Caenorhabditis elegans: one gene and its partner. The protein of the gene in region 2 purifies or fractionates together with the protein of the main gene of each other region. This does not show direct contact. Each region holds a gene or a part of one and is shown on either strand. Other genes may lie near its edges.

Evidence for each region.
Region 1: the proteins of B0361.3 (region 2) and smg-6 fractionate together in Caenorhabditis elegans (co-fractionation; one large-scale study listed by BioGRID). This does not show direct contact.

Annotation. Positions count from the first base shown.
Region 1 is NC_003281.10:2,470,065-2,478,528, reverse strand, and holds the start of smg-6 (PIN domain-containing protein), read right to left. Parts: upstream 4,662-8,464; 5' UTR 4,649-4,661; coding exon 4,289-4,648; intron 3,188-4,288; coding exon 3,032-3,187; intron 2,420-3,031; coding exon 1,603-2,419; intron 925-1,602; coding exon 876-924; coding exon of another isoform or gene 872-875; exon of another isoform or gene 632-871; intron 499-631; coding exon 408-498; intron 357-407; coding exon 277-356; intron 218-276; coding exon 115-217; intron 1-114.
Region 2 is NC_003281.10:7,278,151-7,286,894, reverse strand, and holds B0361.3 (uncharacterized protein), read right to left. Parts: upstream 5,434-8,744; 5' UTR 5,432-5,433; coding exon 5,262-5,431; intron 5,217-5,261; coding exon 4,952-5,216; intron 4,902-4,951; coding exon 4,748-4,901; intron 4,681-4,747; coding exon 4,536-4,680; intron 4,490-4,535; coding exon 4,339-4,489; intron 4,287-4,338; coding exon 4,113-4,286; intron 4,063-4,112; coding exon 3,682-4,062; intron 3,605-3,681; coding exon 3,524-3,604; intron 3,470-3,523; coding exon 3,376-3,469; intron 3,329-3,375; coding exon 3,060-3,328; 3' UTR 2,936-3,059; downstream 1-2,935. Other genes in the region: ykt-6 (synaptobrevin family protein), read left to right, coding at 107-376; pho-5 (Putative acid phosphatase 5), read left to right, coding at 1,023-1,230, 1,282-1,358, 1,421-1,567, 1,615-1,800, 2,048-2,260, 2,304-2,595, 2,643-2,788; Putative transporter B0361.11, read right to left, coding at 5,720-5,926, 5,971-6,060, 6,104-6,233, 6,662-6,821, 6,872-6,975, 7,286-7,417, 7,464-7,741, 7,792-8,062.

The DNA of each region.
Region 1 (8,464 bases), 4.8 Mb from region 2:
AAAACCAGAAATTTCAAATTTTTCGAATAAAAAAAATGCAAGTACGCTCTATTGGACACTTTATCGATTTTCCAGTAATTTTCACTCAAATTATCGATTTTTTGTTGTAAAAACCTTATAAAATGCTTGTCGAAACAATTTCTGCTCGAGACCTGCCGTAAATGAGTAGATGACGTCATGAATGATGACTTGCGAGTAGATATTAGCCAATTCCATGCTGAAAATATCGATTTTTCGAGGTAAAAAATCGATAAATCAATTTTTTCTTTGATCTACCTAATTTCAGCCATTTTTTCAGCGGATTTCAGGTCGCGCTTCTTAACGGGCGCTGATAATTTCTCGATTTTTTCGCTAATCTGGAAAAAAAATCGATTTTTTTTTGGGTTTGCCGGCGGCGGTAAAATCACTTCTCTAATCTGTTTTCCCTCATTACGATCGATATCTTCCTGTCTTCGCCGGTTAATTTCAGCTCGGTTAGCCATTTCTGACTGGTTTTGGCTGAAAATATCGATTTTTATAAAATTCAAAAAAACATTTTTTTTTGAAAAATCCAAAAAAAAAATTGTTTTTCACCAAAAAATATTAGAAACCCAAAGCAAATTTACGGTTAGCGAAAAATGTATAGCAAACAGAGGATATTATTGATTTTTATTAAAAATTTCCAAATTATTAGAAAAAAAATTCGGAAAAAAAGACAGAAATAAAAACAGATCAAAAAGGCAGTAGATCACACAGAGATTAGTTGTTGGAATGGACAATTGATTAGAAATGTGAGAATAATTATTAATTGGAGATCCCAGAGGACACTGGTTGGGGGGTAAAAAAGGGGGTAAAGCGGTAGAAAATCGTAAAAAATCAGTGCATTTTCAGTTCACCTGCGCTTTTGGTAGGTTCTCGGCTTTTCTTCGGATGATTGGCGGTTTCCTGAACAAAAAATATTGATTATTTGATAAGAAATTGAGCCGAAAAACGGAGAAAATCAGTTCGAAATTCGATTTTCGCTCTCAAAAAGTTGCGGTGCGGTGGGGCGCACTTGCATTTTTAGGGGTTCTAGAAGGGTTTCAGTCGGTTTTCAGTCAATTTTCAGCACTTTTTGAAGAAGAATATTAAAATAAGCCGATTTGAAATCAAAGAAAGATCGAAAAGTCGGAAAAAAATTCGAAAATCTCAACTTCCCGCAAAAAACTATTCCGAAAATAGATGAAAAATCACAAATTTGCCGATTTTTCAGAAATTTTCGTTAAGAAGTAGAAAAAATAACCGGATTCAAGGCTTAAAATTCAAAAATTTCCAGAAAAAATCGCAGAAAATTCAATTTTTCTTGAAATTATCGATTTTTCACAGTGGGGCGCGTTTGCACTTTTTATTTAAAAAAAATTCAATTTTTTGTGCTAAACCGCACTTGTGTAGATAAAATCAGAATTTTTATCCAAATTCTACTATTTCGATAAATAAAAGACATTCAAAATAGAGGACAATGCAAGTGCGTTCCACTGATAAAACGCAGAATTTTATCGATTTTTTCAGCTTTTCCGTGATTATTCCTCTATTTTTTACACTGAAACTGGCTGAAAAATTTCCAAAATTCCCAAAAAAACTCACGATTTCCCCCGGCTTCCGTCCCATTCTGCGAGCGCTGCACAATCTGAATTCTCCCAGCAAGACGTCCCGACGACATATGGTTCTCCAGCGTTCCATGATACTCCGAAGCATCATCATCCCGATCGTCATGCTCACCGCGGTACCGTCTCGGCTCTTTCGGCTTCTTCTCCACGGCGGCGTCTCTTCGTTTCGGATGGTTCTCGTCGTTGGCTCCACGTGTTCTCTGGTACAGAACACGTGGATTATAAGAGTTGCCGCTTCGCACAGAAGTCGGAGTTCTCTCACCACTTTTGAGCTCTTCCTCGGCTTCTTCTTCCTCTTTTTCCTCGGCGATACTTCCACCGAACGAGCTTTCTCTGTCGGATTCATCGGGATGGTACCGACTGTTGCCTCCACCTCTTCGATTATTCCTTCGGTTATTTCTCCTCGGAGACGCCGCTTTCTGAGCTTCCTGAGCAGCAGCTTCTTGAAGCTTCTGCTCCATCCGTCGCTCTTCCTCTTCCTCCTGCTCTTTCTGCATTGCAAACTCATTTTCCACCTCTTTACTCCAATCCATCGACGCGAAATTCTGCAGGTTCTGGCACATTTCCTCGAAACTGAACGCCTCGCCAAGGGAATTCATCGAGAAATTCGATGAGGCTCCACACTGAGATGCCGAGTCGAATGAGGTGTCAATGTGAAGTTGAGCACCGGTTTGAGGTGGCATTTCTGATTGGGTAGAGTTGATGGAATCGTTGCGTTGGCGACGGGATCCTTGAGGACGTCGGGCGATGGCGCCGTCCCCGCGCATGGAAGCTCGCTCGTTGAAGCCGCGGGTCTGGAAATTGAAAAGATTTAGCTTTAAAAGTTTGGTTGTTTGAACAAAAAAAGCTTTAGCTCAAAAAATATTTGATACGCAATTTTGTAAATGCGCGTCGTGTTTGCGTACTTGACTATCGTACTCAATGGTGATTTCCGCAAAAATTTATGTTTTTTTTCGAGAACGGACAATTTTCTAAGGTTGTTCAGAGTTTTACAATTCGAAACGGTATCATGCCTTCTTAAGGCGGTATTAAACGTAATTCTAAGTTCAGATTGTCAAATTTCTCAAATTCTGACAGTTTTCACCAGTAAAAACCTCGAATTTGTATGGAAAACTGTCCAGATTGATAAAATCTCTAGCTTTCTGTACTAGACGTGAATTTTCTTGAAGTGGGCTAATTTCTAAAGCTTTTCTCAGCTGTTTGGTACAATTTCTACTAAGTTTTACAGTTTTAGACTAGAATTTGAGCGATTTATCTCTTTTTCCCCAAAATTTCTTTTTTCCTAAAGTTTCCATATTCCCATCATACCTTACTGATCACTTCACATCCCACACATCCCATTAATTCTAATTAATTCACCCCTTCTCCCCCCCAGACACTTCCATTAAGAAAACCTGATAACCTACATAATGATTTCCGCCGGGTCGTTCGAACGGTTGCCGATGCTGCTGATGCTGCTGGTTACTGTATCTCCCATTATTCCGGTGATTCGATCGGTGGTTGCCCTGGTACTCCATATAGCCACCATGTTGCCGTGTGTCGTAGAGGGATTGTGTGGAATTCTGGAATTGGAATGGTTTTCGTGGGATTTGGGACATTTGTAGGGGTGTGCAACTTTTCAGTCAATTTCAGACTTTTGTCTAGTTCTGGGGATTTGAGTTCAATCTTGAGCAATTCTTAGCTTTTTTCCTGGAGTCTTCGAGACAAAATATAAGTTTTCAGCCAGTTTGAAGTTGGGTTCAGTCGGGTTTCATGAGAATTTGAGACCTTTTCCAGCTAAATTCCAGAGCCAAAATACGTGATCTCACGTGGTGTCAGAGTCTCCAATTTTGGCTTGATCTACGTAGTTCTACAAAAATTGCGGGAAAAGAGACGCAGAGTTCTCATTTGATTTCGCATTGTTAAGAACGTGCTGGCGTCACATTTTTTGGCCAAAAAATTCCCGCATTTTTGTAGATCAAACCGTTATGGGGCAACTTGATACCACGTGATTTCTCAAATTTTGAGGATTTTGAGTTACCTTCAGCCGTTCCACAGTGGCTTTAGAGTTAAATATTTGGATTTTTGGCGTTTTTGGGGATTTTCAGCCAACTAAGGTATTTTCTCGTGCTAATAATGAGTTTTTAAACAATTTTTGAGGGTTTTCAGTCAATTTCAGCTACTTCATAGTGAAGACTTTGGGTTTCGAGAGATTTACTGAAAATTTTTGGCTTTTCCCGTAAAAATATCAGTTTTGCCATAGATTTTAAGATTTTCCGTTAATTCAAGTCGTTTTCTAGTGCTTTTAAGGTATTTTGAGACATTTTCAGCTGAATTTGGGGCTTTTATCATGCTAAAATATTAGTTTTTCAAAATTTGCTGAGGGTGGTGTCAGGATGTCCCATCACGGTTTGATCTACGAAAAATACGGGAATTTTTATTACCAAAAATGTGGCGCCAGCACGTTCTTAACCATGCAAAATTAGTTGAGAACTCTGCGTCTCAACTCCCGCATTTTTTGTAGATCCACGAAGATCACGTCAAAATGAGGCACTCTGACACCGTTTCCCCGTGCTAGATAATGAATTTTTCCAAAATTTTTTGAGGGTTTTAGGTAATTTCAGTTTTTTTCTGTAGTGTTAGGGTAGAACTTTTGGTTTTTGAGCGATAAGATAAAAACTTACATAATTCGATGGCCCATCTGTTCTCTGTTGTTGTCGATAGCCTTTCTCAAATCGATTCCTTCCTCCACCTCGCTCATTCATGGCATTAATCACATTTGCATCGGGCGTCGTACTTCCAGATCCACCACGTGACGTCACACTGTCCGTATCGTTGCTTCTTCGTCTGGAATTGCCCGACATCGTCGTCGTTGTTGTGTTCAACTTCTCCGGGCGTGGTGGTCGTGCTTCTTCGTTCGTAGAGCTCAAGCTTTTCGTGCTCCCTCCCTGGCGGAGCATTCCTGGACGGTAGATTTGAATTTCTGGGCGCGGTTTTCGTGGAGCTCCCGTCCTAGATGACGAGGCGTCTGTGTCTCCGTTCATTTTGCTTGGTGAGCTGGAAATTTGGAATTTTGAGATATATCATAAAAGAGAAGCATGTAACATACAAAAAAAGGAAAATACAGATTCAGGCATGCCTACCTGCCTGCCTACCTACGCTATAAAACTGCAAAAGTTCAGGAGAAAAAGCTATAATTGAAGAGAAAGCACGCGGTGTCAAAGTGTCTCATTTCGGCTTGATCTACGTAGATCTACAAAAAATGCGGGAGAAGAGGCGCAGAGTTCTCAACTGATTTTGTATGGTTTCACATTTTTCTGGGCAAAAAAAACCGCATTTTTTTGTAGATCAAACCGTAATGGGACAGCCTGGCACCACGTGAGAACGGAGTTGGAGCAAAAAAATTTAATTAAGAAAAGGTGTTGACAGCGGGCTTTACGAGGGGATGAGCAGAGGATAAACAGATTTTTTCGCAAAAATTCGTCATTCCTCTAGATTTTAGACGGGATTTTGCATTTTCTAAAGCTGTGGGTGTTGGAAAACCGAAAACCGCCGTTGAAAATAGCTAAAAATCCGTGGGAATCTCCAAAAAAGCGTTGAAAACTTCAATTTTGTACCTAGAAATCCAGGAAAAAGCTGAAAATTGGTGTGATGTCAGAATGCCCCATATCGGTTTGATCTACGTAGATCTACAAAAAATGCGCGAATTTAGCCGCAGACTTCTCAACTGATTTCGCATGGTTAACACTGTGCTGACATCACATTTTTTGGGGAAAAAAATTCCCGCATTTTTGTAGATCACACCGTTACAACCTACCACACCACGTGGGAAAACTCATAGGTTCGACGAGAAACTTTTTGGTTAAAACTTTAAAAAATGTCATATTTTTAGGCTGAAACTAATATGAATAGTTAAAACCAAGCTATTAAGTTCTGAAAACCATACTTTATATAAATTAAGGGCCTTTTGGGTCTGGAAATTCGGATTTTTTGAGATTTTCCCTCCCAAGAATACTAGTAAACCCTAAATTTCTCCGATATCACAAGATCGCTACTTTTATTTCGATTTTCGCAAAGTAACAAAAAAAAAGTTTTATGTAACTTTTATGTCCCCCCACCACCAAACGTTTTCCTGTTCCGAAATGCAAACACATACAACACAGTGAAACAATTCTTATCACTGGTGGAGCGGGTACCTTCTGTTAAGCTAAACAGAACATACACGTCGGCGGGGTGGGGGGAGGGAAGGGGTAATTGTTTGATTAGCCACCCATCAAATAGAGACATGGGAAAGTACATGGGGGGTAACAATGGAATTTTCGGTATCGATTTCTAATTGGGGAAGACTCTAGTAGAGGCTCATTGGAAATTGGGAATTAAATAGCGTTTATAACCGAAATTTGAAATAAAAAATTCAAGAATATGGTAGTTTTCAAAGTAACGTTTCTAATTGGGATTTTAAACAAAAGTACAAAAGTACTACTAAAACGAAATTTGACAATTCTTTTTGCTCAAAAATTAAATTTCGTCATTTTTTAAAATTATATATATATATGTGTGTTGTAATTAATTACAATGCTCAAAAATGCAGCAATTTTTCAAATTTGAGCAATAAATGTTGTCAATTTACGTTCTTTTTCGATTAATATAGTAATTAAAGTAAGCTTTTTCAGCCTACTACAGCCTATTTGGACTAAAAAAAAACGGACCTCACAGAAATGATATATTTACTGATTTTTTCTCCCTCAGAGAGCAGTATAAACACACACGTGCATTGTAACAAAAAAACAGGGAACGAAAAGAAAAGAGTGAATGGGAAGAGAGAAAGAGAAAATGTGTGATATGAATTGGGCAGAGAAAAGGGATGACGGCTGGAGACGCTGAGAGGAGGGTGGGGTACGCAATTGTGCGTCGAGGGGGGAGGGGGTGTAATTGCGGACTATGGGAAGATGAGTATGACCTTTGGCGGAGAAGAAGAGGACCGTGGGAATGGAAGGGGTTCGCTGTGGAGGTTTTTTAGAATGTTAGACGTTATCAGCGATGTTAGAAATTAAAATAAGTATTAGGGTGAGCAATAAGTTTTTTCGTCTTTTCTCAGTTTTCATCCTTTCTCAAATATTTTGTATGTGGTACATAGTGTGGTACAAGCCTTCGGGAGCTTCCTGGGTTATCGGTGAATTTTGGGCGGTCGTTGTTGGGTGCCGCATGTCTTCGACCCTCGCTAAGTGTGAGGGAGCCGGGTAAAACCGCACGTTCGAACGTTGTAAGCCCAACTCTCCAGTACTCCTTCCTGAAGGAGTCTTGGTTTGTCTGCTGAGTGATGGCGTTTTCGGGTTCTGAGAGGTTCACTGTTTCCTCTCTGACTGATGCTATCATGGTGCCTGCCTGGGGTAGGCTAGGCCTGCCTGGGGTAGGCTAGGCCTGCCTGAGGTAGGCTAGGCCTGCCTGGGGTAGGCTAGGCCTGCCTGGGGTAGGCTAGGCCTGCCTGGGGTAGGCTAGGCCTGCCTGGGGTAGGCTAGGCCTGCCTGGGGTAGGCTATGCCTGCCTGGGGTAGGCTAGGCTGCCTGGGGCAGGCTAGGCCTGTCTGGGGTAGGCTAGGCCTGTCTGGGGTAGGCTAGGCCTGTCTGGGGTAGGCTGAGTCTGCCTGGGGTAGGCTGGGTCTGCCTGGGGTAGGCTGGGTCTACCTGGGGTAGGCTGGGTCTGCCTGGGGTAGGCTGGGTCTGCCTGGGGTAGGCTGGGTCTGCCTGGGGTAGGCTGGGTCTGCCTGGAGTAGGCTGGGTCTGCCTGGGGTAGGCTGGGTCTGCCTGGGGTAGGCTGGGTCTGCCTGGGGTAGGCTGGGTCTGCCTGGGGTAGGCTGGGTCTGCCTGGGGTAGGCTGGGTCTGCCTGGGGTAGGCTGGGTCTGCCTGGGGTAGGCTGGGTCTGCCTGGGGTAGGCTGGGTCTGCCTGGGTAGGCTGGGTCTGCCTGGAGTAGGCTGGGTCTGCCTGGGGTAGGCTGGGTCTGCCTGGGGTAGGCTGGGTCTGCCTGGGGTAGGCTGGGTCTGCCTGGGGTAGGCTGGGTCTGCCTGGAGTAGGCTGGGTCTGCCTGGGGTAGGCTGGGTCTGCCTGGGGTAGGCTGGGTCTGCCTGGGGTAGGCTGGGTCTGCCTGGGGTAGGCTGGGTCTGCCTGGGGTAGGCTGGGTCTGCCTGGGGTAGGCTGGGTCCAGCCATTTCCAATTCCAACCATTTGTGAAAAAAGTATTAAAAATACATTTAAAAAACAAAAAATCTTTAAATAATCCGAGAAAATAGGAAAAACTATTCGAATAAAAACCTATCCGCAACGCGATTTTCGCGTGTTTAAAGTCTGCAGGAATCTGCAGAACTTTGCAGGAGCTTTCTAAAAAACAGCGTGTGCGTCGCCAGAACCAATTTTATTGAATCTTTGCGAAGAAGTTGCAGAGGTTTGTTAAGAAGTTAAAACATAAAAGGATGCCTGAAAAGTTGCAAGAGTGTGCTATGAAGTTGCAACGTTTTACCGAGTAGTTTTATGTTCAGATACTCTGAACCAATTATTTTAGAATTTATCATATTATGATAAGATACGTTAAAAACTCAGTGCTAGACTTCTGTTAGTGTAGGTTTCATAATTTGAGATGCTGGCCTTATTAATAACAAAGGCATTATATTTTTTTGGTTTTTTTGTTTTTTGTTTTTTGGTTTTTTTGGTATTTTGACGAAAAATCGATTATTTGGTTTTTTTTTGGTTTTTTGGGTCCAAAAAAAAACAAAAAATCCAAAAAAAAAAAAATGTTTACCGTGTCTAGTCTCGACTCGAGACTATTCTGTATTAAAATACATTAAAACCTGCATTTTAACACAGT
Region 2 (8,744 bases):
CACAAAATTCAAAAAACATACAATTAACGATCTTAGAAAAAATTGAAAAATCCACACGCTCGATTCTGATCATTTTCCTAAATATCGTAAAGTATCCAATTTTCAGCCTGGAATCCGAAGCGACAAGGATTGTTCATACACAGGTTTGAAGGATCTTCTCGAAAAATGGCAAAATCCACGTGAAGCCGATCCAATGACTCGAGTTCAAGAAGAAGTAGAAGAGACGAAAATGGTGATGCATAATACGATTCAATCGGTGCTTGATCGTGGTGAGAAGCTGGATGATTTAGTGAAAAAGAGTGAGAACCTGTCGGATCAATCAAAAATGTTCTACACATCGGCTCGAAAGATGAACAAATGCTGCAATTACGTCTAAATTATTGATATTCATACTCTCGAATTGCGTTGAAATTTGCTTTCAATCACAATTCTATATTTAGTTTGCTTCTCGGTATTTCTTGGAAATTTTCTCCCTTTGAGTTTCTGTGGTTCTCTCTTTAGCTCGCCAATATTCATGTATGGAAATTCTTGACTTTTCACAGAAATTCCCAAGTTTCCACCATTCCGACTAGTCTCCACATTTGATTGCTAGTTGCTTCATACTTCTCTCCCACAATTTCCTTTCCTGTCTCTCTTTGTTTGTAAATTCTCGCTCAACTTTCAAAACTTTTTTCTTCACATTTTTCCTTGAAAAAATCATTCCCGTTAGGACTTATTTAGAACAAATCATTCACAGTCCAATCACCAATCACGCACAAAATGGTGCCAAAAGCCGTCAATGTTTTATCAATTTTTCTCTTTTTTTTTTGAATATATCAGATTTGTCTTCTTTTCCCCATGTCTCTGTTCCGATGTATTTTATTATTTAATTTTTTTTTCAAATTTAAGTGAAACCCAATGAATTCGTCTTAGAATACTGTTTTTAAATTTGGAATTTATTTTCACAGGATTATAGCCTTTTCGAAATTCTTACTTCACAGTTCCGAATTAAAAAAAAACATTTCTCTAAAGTTCAGCCATCCATGCTTCTCCTTCTCGTGCTCCTTATCGGAGCATCAGGAATCAATGCAGTAGTGTATAAAGAAGTTCCAATTCAAGCAAATACGGACACCCTGGAATATGTGCACACTGTATGGAGACATGGGGATCGGACTCCGGCGGAGCTTCTCTTTCCGGATGACATCACGAAATGGCCTGAGGGATTGGGGGAGTTGACCGAGCAAGGAGCAGGTACTATTGAACTTTTTATTAGAAATTCAGCAAAATTTTAATATTTTTCAGCCCAACAATATCGTCTGGGTCAATGGCTCAAAAGGCGATATGGCTCGTGGCTCGGGGAAAAGTTCAATAGAAATGCTGTATGCTTTTATTTTCGAAATTAAAAAACTCTGAAATGTTTTTAAAAAAATCAAATTTGCAGATTTATATTCGTAGTTCTGATTACAATAGAACATTAATGTCGGCTCAAGCGAATATGGCAGGACTATTCCCACCGAAATATCCAATCGCTGGAGGATTAATGTGGCAGCCAATTCCTGTTCATACGATATCGAAACCAACAGACAAAGTAATTGCCTAAAAATTTAAAATTCAAAAAAATAATAAACATTTCAGGAACTCTACGAAGAAGCAAGTTGTCCGACTGCTGAAATTGAGATGAATGCACAATGGAAATCAACTAAAGCTAATGGAATTCGAAAGAAGTTCGCACGAGAATTAAGCTTTTTCTCCCAAAAGCTTAATTTGCCAAATATGGAGCTAAAGGCTACCTGGAGGATATTTGATAATTTGTTTTGTGAGGTATTTAATTTAATCGAAATTCTTTTTTTTGCGCTAACAATACGGTACCTGGTCTCGACACGACTTTTTAAAGGCGCTTCGAATTTTACAAAAAATTCCGTTTCGAAACCGGATACCGTACTTTTGGTTTTAACTTTTAGTTTGGATATATTCTTCTCAATCAAAAGCTTTCGCAGAAAAATCAAAAAATTCTTAAATCAAAAAATGTTATATCACTGAAAATCTTATTGTAAAAGGATTAATTTAGAAACAAAACAACATAACATGGCCATCATGGATGAACTCGAGTATATTCGAACGAGTTGATCAACTGTACAATGAAGTATCTCAGTTGGAATTCCATACAGATACTCTTCGACGTCTTCGTGGTGGGACCCTTCTCGAGGAAATATTTCATCGATTTAGTGATAAAGCTTCTGGATCACTAGGAAAAGAAGCAAAGTTTTACGCGTATTCTGCGGTAAATACTTTTTGAAAACATTTTCAAACAAAAAAAATTTCAGCACGATTCAACAATCGCAGCTCTTCTCGCGACACTTGGAGTGTTCTACGATATTTATCCAAAATATGCAACATGTTTGCTCATCGAAATGCACAAACTCGCGAACGAAACTCGCTTGATACGAGTTTTTCATAAAAATGAGACAGATATTGATCGGCTTATCGAATATTCGATTCCTGGTTGTGATGATCCATGCACACTCCAAAAGCTCGGAGATGATCTTAAAAAATACTTTCCAGAGGATTGGGAAGCCGAATGCGGTCTGAAAACAAGCTTCCAATTTATTTATTTAGGCGAGTCTTTTATTTTTTAATTCTAGATTCATATTGTAAATTTTCAGTTATAATATCCATTCTGGTTATCTCTACAGTTTGCTCGTGTACCATGCTTTTCGTTGAGAAACAAAAGCGGAAGATTTTGAGATTCCCCGTCGACGGCCTACGCGATGACACTGCTCCGATGCTGGGTGGAGACGATAGTGATTGAGATTTTGTTTTACTTTTGAAAATAGTTTATATCGCACCCTTCATGTTGAATATCATTTTCTGAGTCAGCTTTTAAAGACATATCCCGTGAAACCTTGATACATTCCAAACTTTGAATATCCCGGCATTTTTAATGAGCCAAAGACATCTCGAACCAAAGATTTTATTTTTGCAATAAATTGTTTCATATCACATCCAAAAACAAAAAACCATAATTAAATACAATAAATACAACCCGGTTAGTCTAATAGAAATTCAGATGAAAACTCAAATTACGACATCGTCTTCAGCTGCTCCCGGAGTTTATTGATCGTCGAATCAAGATTATCATGGGTTCCCGCTCGCAAATCAACAAGGGCATCACGAAGATATTCAGCGTCACATAGGAATTCTTTAACGAGTCCCTTCGAAAGTGTAGCTGTTTTTCCATCAGTCAACCAGACATCGTTGATAGATTGCAGAAGCTTTTTGACCACATGACTCGCAATCCTATCAAGAATTGCCGCAAAGATGGCGTCGTCATCAGGAGTTTCCAGAGATTCTAGAACATTGTTTTTTTGAAAAAAAAACTAAAAAATTTTAAAATACCTTTATTAATATCCATAACATGCGCTATCAGTGCGACTTTTGTATTCTCGTTTGCCAATGCTTCTTCCCAGAAACGGAGAAGATGTAGAAGATTCTGAATTTTTAATAGTTGAATTTAAAAAAAAAAACCTATTTTAAAAATACATACCTGTGTAGCTGTGACCACAAAATCTTGAGGAGTTGGAAGTGCAGATTTTGCCATGTCGGCGCTTTCCTTGTAAGTCTCACTCTGAAAATGGAATAAATTTCTTTCAAGGATCAAAAAATAAAAAAATTTGTTTGAAATAAACCAATCACAGTACTTACTCCGTGGTTAGGCATCTTATCTGTCACAAATCGATGACTGGCACGGATTGCATCCTTCACTCTCTCATTCATCCATTTCTTCGCATTCTTCAACTCCAATCCATTTTTAATTTCAGTTTGATCTTTGTACTCTTCTACAATCGTTGATAGTTGTCCAGCCAACGCAATTCTTTCGAGATATTCTTCCAATTTAACTTTTGGAGTCGAATTATCTTCCATTCGACATAATCGCATTGTGTAATCCGTGAATATTGGTTTCAAAATAGAAATCATGAACTCTCGGCCTTCATCCTCTAAATAGATTTCCAGAAGTTGATGAGAAATCTCTCGCAGCAAGTAGGCAAAGTTTTCAAGAGATGACATCACTTCAGCTACTGATCTCTGAAATTAGTTTATAAAATTATTGCTCAATAAAATTATGATTTACTAACAAAATTCAATGGTGGTGGCTCAACCATCGATCGGAGCTTTTCAGATAATGGTTTCTTCGCACTTTCCATCAGACCATCTACAATTATTCTCTCAATATTTTCAATGGACTCTTCGTCGTCTTCTGGTCCTCCAGCTGTGTTTGTTTCAAACTCTTCGTATGCTTTTGTAACTACCTGTAAGAATAAACTATTTTTGAGGTTATACATTTTCAGTTTTACAACTTACAGATTTCAAGTCTGAAAGCAAATCATAATTGTTATAGTTCTCCATAGATTGTTCAAAAAGCTTCTCCAAAGTTCCATTTTTAATGTAATTTTTCCAAGCATCAAGAAGTCTAGTGAATGCTTCGTTTTCATCACAATATTTGCACAACGAACTAAAATGTAATTTTAACGTAAAGAAACATTTCGGAAATTAACTACCCAATATGAGTTCTGAAATGTTCCGCAGCTTTGGTTACAAAAACAGTTCCCATTTCTTTTAACGACTTTTCATCTTCAATTCCTGAGTTTTTATTCAAGTTGTTTAGAGATTGATCGAAATGATGCTGGTAGAGACGGTAGAAATCTGAATAATAATTTTTAAAGGTTTTAGATTTTGAAAATTATCAGATTTTTTAAAGATTAAAATGTACCATTGACAGAATTCAAAGTTGTAAATGCATCGAAAATATCATCAAGCCCTCCAGGAGTGTCGAACTTCACAGCAAACTCAGTTCCTTTCCATGCTAAATAGCGATCCTTTGTTTTGTGATAAGTCTCAGCATCGAACTTTGGCTTAGCGCCGAGCTGAATAATATGCATTATTAGAATGCTATGATTAAAGAAAACCAGAAAACCTCTTTGATAATTTTTAAATTATCTCCAATTGCCACCAATGTCGGAAGCAACGAATCATCAATTGCCCTGTCCTTTAACTTTTCAGATTGACTGTCTTCTGCATCAAATATCTGACGAGCATCTAGTAATCGAGTCAATTGTTTTAAGTTTCTTTTTGCAGAATCTAATTGAACGAGTTGTTCTTCGTGTGGCGCATATGGCATTGTACATTTCGACATATTTTCTTGAAGGCACGAAGACAAAAGAGAGATTTCATGTCCAATTCTGAAAAAAAACAATTTATATCTAATCTTGAATGCTTTTTCAAACCGTGTTTCCACATGTACCATTTGTTTGAAGGTTGTCTGCATATTGGAATTCAAAGAGTATAAATTTCGGTTGAGCTGTTCCACAAGCTGCTTGCATGCTTCTCCTCGTGGTATATCCGAATAATCATCTATTGATTTACGTTCAGCAGAACCATGATGATGAATTGTCATGGCTAAATTATAATTATTGCAACAATCGTTTTGAAAATAAATTGAATTTAAAAATTCAGTGTAAAAACGTGGATGCTGATTTACGATAAACAGCATGCGTTGCGTAAGAACGGAGTGTCGTCGGAAAAAGGGATTACAATTTTGTGGAGTACTGTAGGTTCCATGGTATTTATCATATCTCGAATTTGGCATTTCGGTTCTCTCATTCTTCTAAAATTAGTTGAATTCTTCGGAAAAAAAGAAGTGAACATATTATACAAGTTGTTTCGGGAAGAAATGTGTTTATTCTTATATTCTGTATTCTTTGTCAGAAAAGTTAACAGTATCAAGTTTCTTGCTGACACTTTCACTTGACAACGTCTTCTTTGATCGAACACTTGTTTTCGACAATGCTGACACCGAGGAAGATGATGATTTGCTTCTACGATACGCTGACAAATCATTCGTTTCCGATGGATAAGAGAGACTTTCAATGTCGGTAGGCAACTTTTTGTTCTGAATAGAAATGTATATTTTTGTTTCAAAAATCACCAACTAACCTTTGTCTCATGCAACATGAATGCCAACGTTGCAGAAATGAAACTGAAAAGCGCAATGACCACAAATGGAATCCAGTTTGGTGACATAACCTGAACAATGTTGAGTAATTCTTTGAATTCTCTCGAGACTTACAATATGTTTGACATATGGTGACATTATTATTCCCATACTTTGTGGAATGTTCATCAATGAGAAACACAGTGATCTTACAGATGTTGGGAATTGTTCAGTTGCCCAGATTGGATGAACAGAGTATATTATTCTGAAAATATGCTAGAAACCGTATTTGCTATTCCTCGGTGCATTTCATAAATTTGGTTAGAAATACTTGTAGATTCAAATTATGCTTTGAACGGTATAGGTTAGAATGTGATACGAAGCCATTTGAGGACCTTATCTGGAGACAATGTTCAGTATTTGTATCAAACTTATTACATATTTCATGTCATGTCAAATGTTATGTTCTACAACTTTGTCTCTTAAACTAAAACTCTACAATCACTTTAAACATAGTTATAACAGTTTGGTAATTGGCTGAGTAGCGACTTGCTGACCACTTGATACTGAATTTCGTCAATTTTGATAGGATTTTCATGGAAATTTCTACTAATACAATAAATTACGTTATTTTTAATGAAAAATACTTTTTGGCTTGAAAAATTTGATCTATAAATAACGCAAGAAACTCACGTGGCCATAACTTTTGCTACAAGCATGATGACAAGCTTAAATTCATAAGAATCAAGAAATACTGTAACTCCAATAAGAGCAAGAGTTTGAAATACAAGGCACCAAATGACAATCATCTTTCGACCCATTTTCATCATTAATGGAATTACGGCAAGACCAGCTGAAAGTAGAAGAATTGATGGAAATTCCAGGATTTCTGAAACAGTTCACCTGGAATCTCAATCAAAGATGAATAGAGGAATGCCTGGACCTGATCACCGCCAAGCTCAACGGACATAAAGGAAATTGCAAAATAGACCAGGGAAATCACCATTCTGAATAATTAAAATTGGGAGAACGACAAAATGGATCAGTTTTTTCTAAATAAATTGGAAAACCAGACTTGCGAACTTTTGAATTCTTTAGATAAAGTTAATCTAAAATCGTAGTGTACAGAAAAACAAGTAGCCATGCATAAAGACAGTATAAATGCTCATGAGACATACCTACATATCTACCTACATGCCTACATCCCTAGTCATAATGTATTATGGAGCTCCCGACATTATCTTGAACAGAAGTCACCTAATAAATAACCACAATAGACCGGCCCATTTATTGGCTTTTTATAGTTTCCCAACTTACTCGATAAATCCGTTTGCAAAAAGGAGCCAAATCAATTTTTTACTCCCCAGCAAGGCTTTGAACGATTCATGTTTTTCCTCATGATGTGAACTTTGTTGGCAATCATTGAATTCAGGTGATACGTTATTCACTCTAAAAACGTTATTAGAATACTTCTATATTCTTAACTAGAGCCCACCTATTTGCAGTTTTAATGTACTTTTTCAACTTTTCGGTTTTATTCTTCGTTATCAGCCAGTGAGGACTCTCGGGTAAGAAATACCATAAAGCAAAACCATAAACACCGGGTAATGATACAATAAAATATCTCCATCGCCAGTCATCAGTCATCAGAGTTACCAAAAGTGTCCATACCATACCAAGAGACCATGCCACGTTGTAGACTACCGTAATCCAGGCTCTTGCCTTTTCAGACAAGTATTCACATGTGGCAACACTTGCAACAGAAAGATACGACTGAAATTGATATGTTCAGTTGTTTTAGATCTTCAAAAGATGAAGCTCACATCACTACAAGCTCCAATAAATGCTCTCAGAATTAGAAAAATTGCAAAATTTGGACTAAAGGATGCAGCCATGTTTGCCAAAAAAGCCAGAATTGCTGTTGTCACAATAATTGGTTTTCTTCCATATCTATCAGCTAACATTGACATAAAAGGCACTGCAATCACTGCTCCAATCGTGAAAATTGTCAATCCAAATTCTTGAAAAAACCAATGAGAACATGAGAGATCAAAATCTACGAGCAAATTCGTAGATGCTTTTTGATTCGTGACACTGAAAATGTTTTGTTTTGATATTTGAGTCCTAATAATATACAAAATTGCAAAAAACGCCGGTCAAGTTGTTGTCAATGGGGGGTTTTGAAAGATAACCCATTGACTCCGGACCGAATTGAAAGTTGTCTTCTCTTGGTTGTTTATATACCACATACTCTCCCAGCGCCAGACATTTTTCCAGTACTTGCATGGTTGTAGACACAGAGACGAAAGGAAAAAGGAAATTATGAAATTCAGCGCAAAAAGTCGGTCGCTTGGGAGAATGTTTGTATATAAGCAGATGTTGAATGATCACTTTCAATACGGTCCGGAGTCGGTGGGTTATCTGAGAAGCCCCCCATCGACACCAACTTGACCGATGAAAATTTTAGTTTTTAAATATTTATTTGTTTCAGTTTATGATTTCTGTGTGGACCATTAACGACTACAGTAACCTCAGTTTTCAGGTTTTATCACTGTTTTTCAACAAAAAATGTATTCCAGAAAAAACCGCAAAAATTGAAGAAACGGGTTACTGTATTGGCGCATTTTCCATTATAAAATACTTCGTTCGTGTCGAGACCTGGCATTAAACGTTTGGTAGAAAAATTGCAAAATTCCGCCACTGGATAATCACCATCACCTTATTCAGAAAAAAATCCGATTATTATAATTTTAGTGGACAAAAAATTATGGAACAT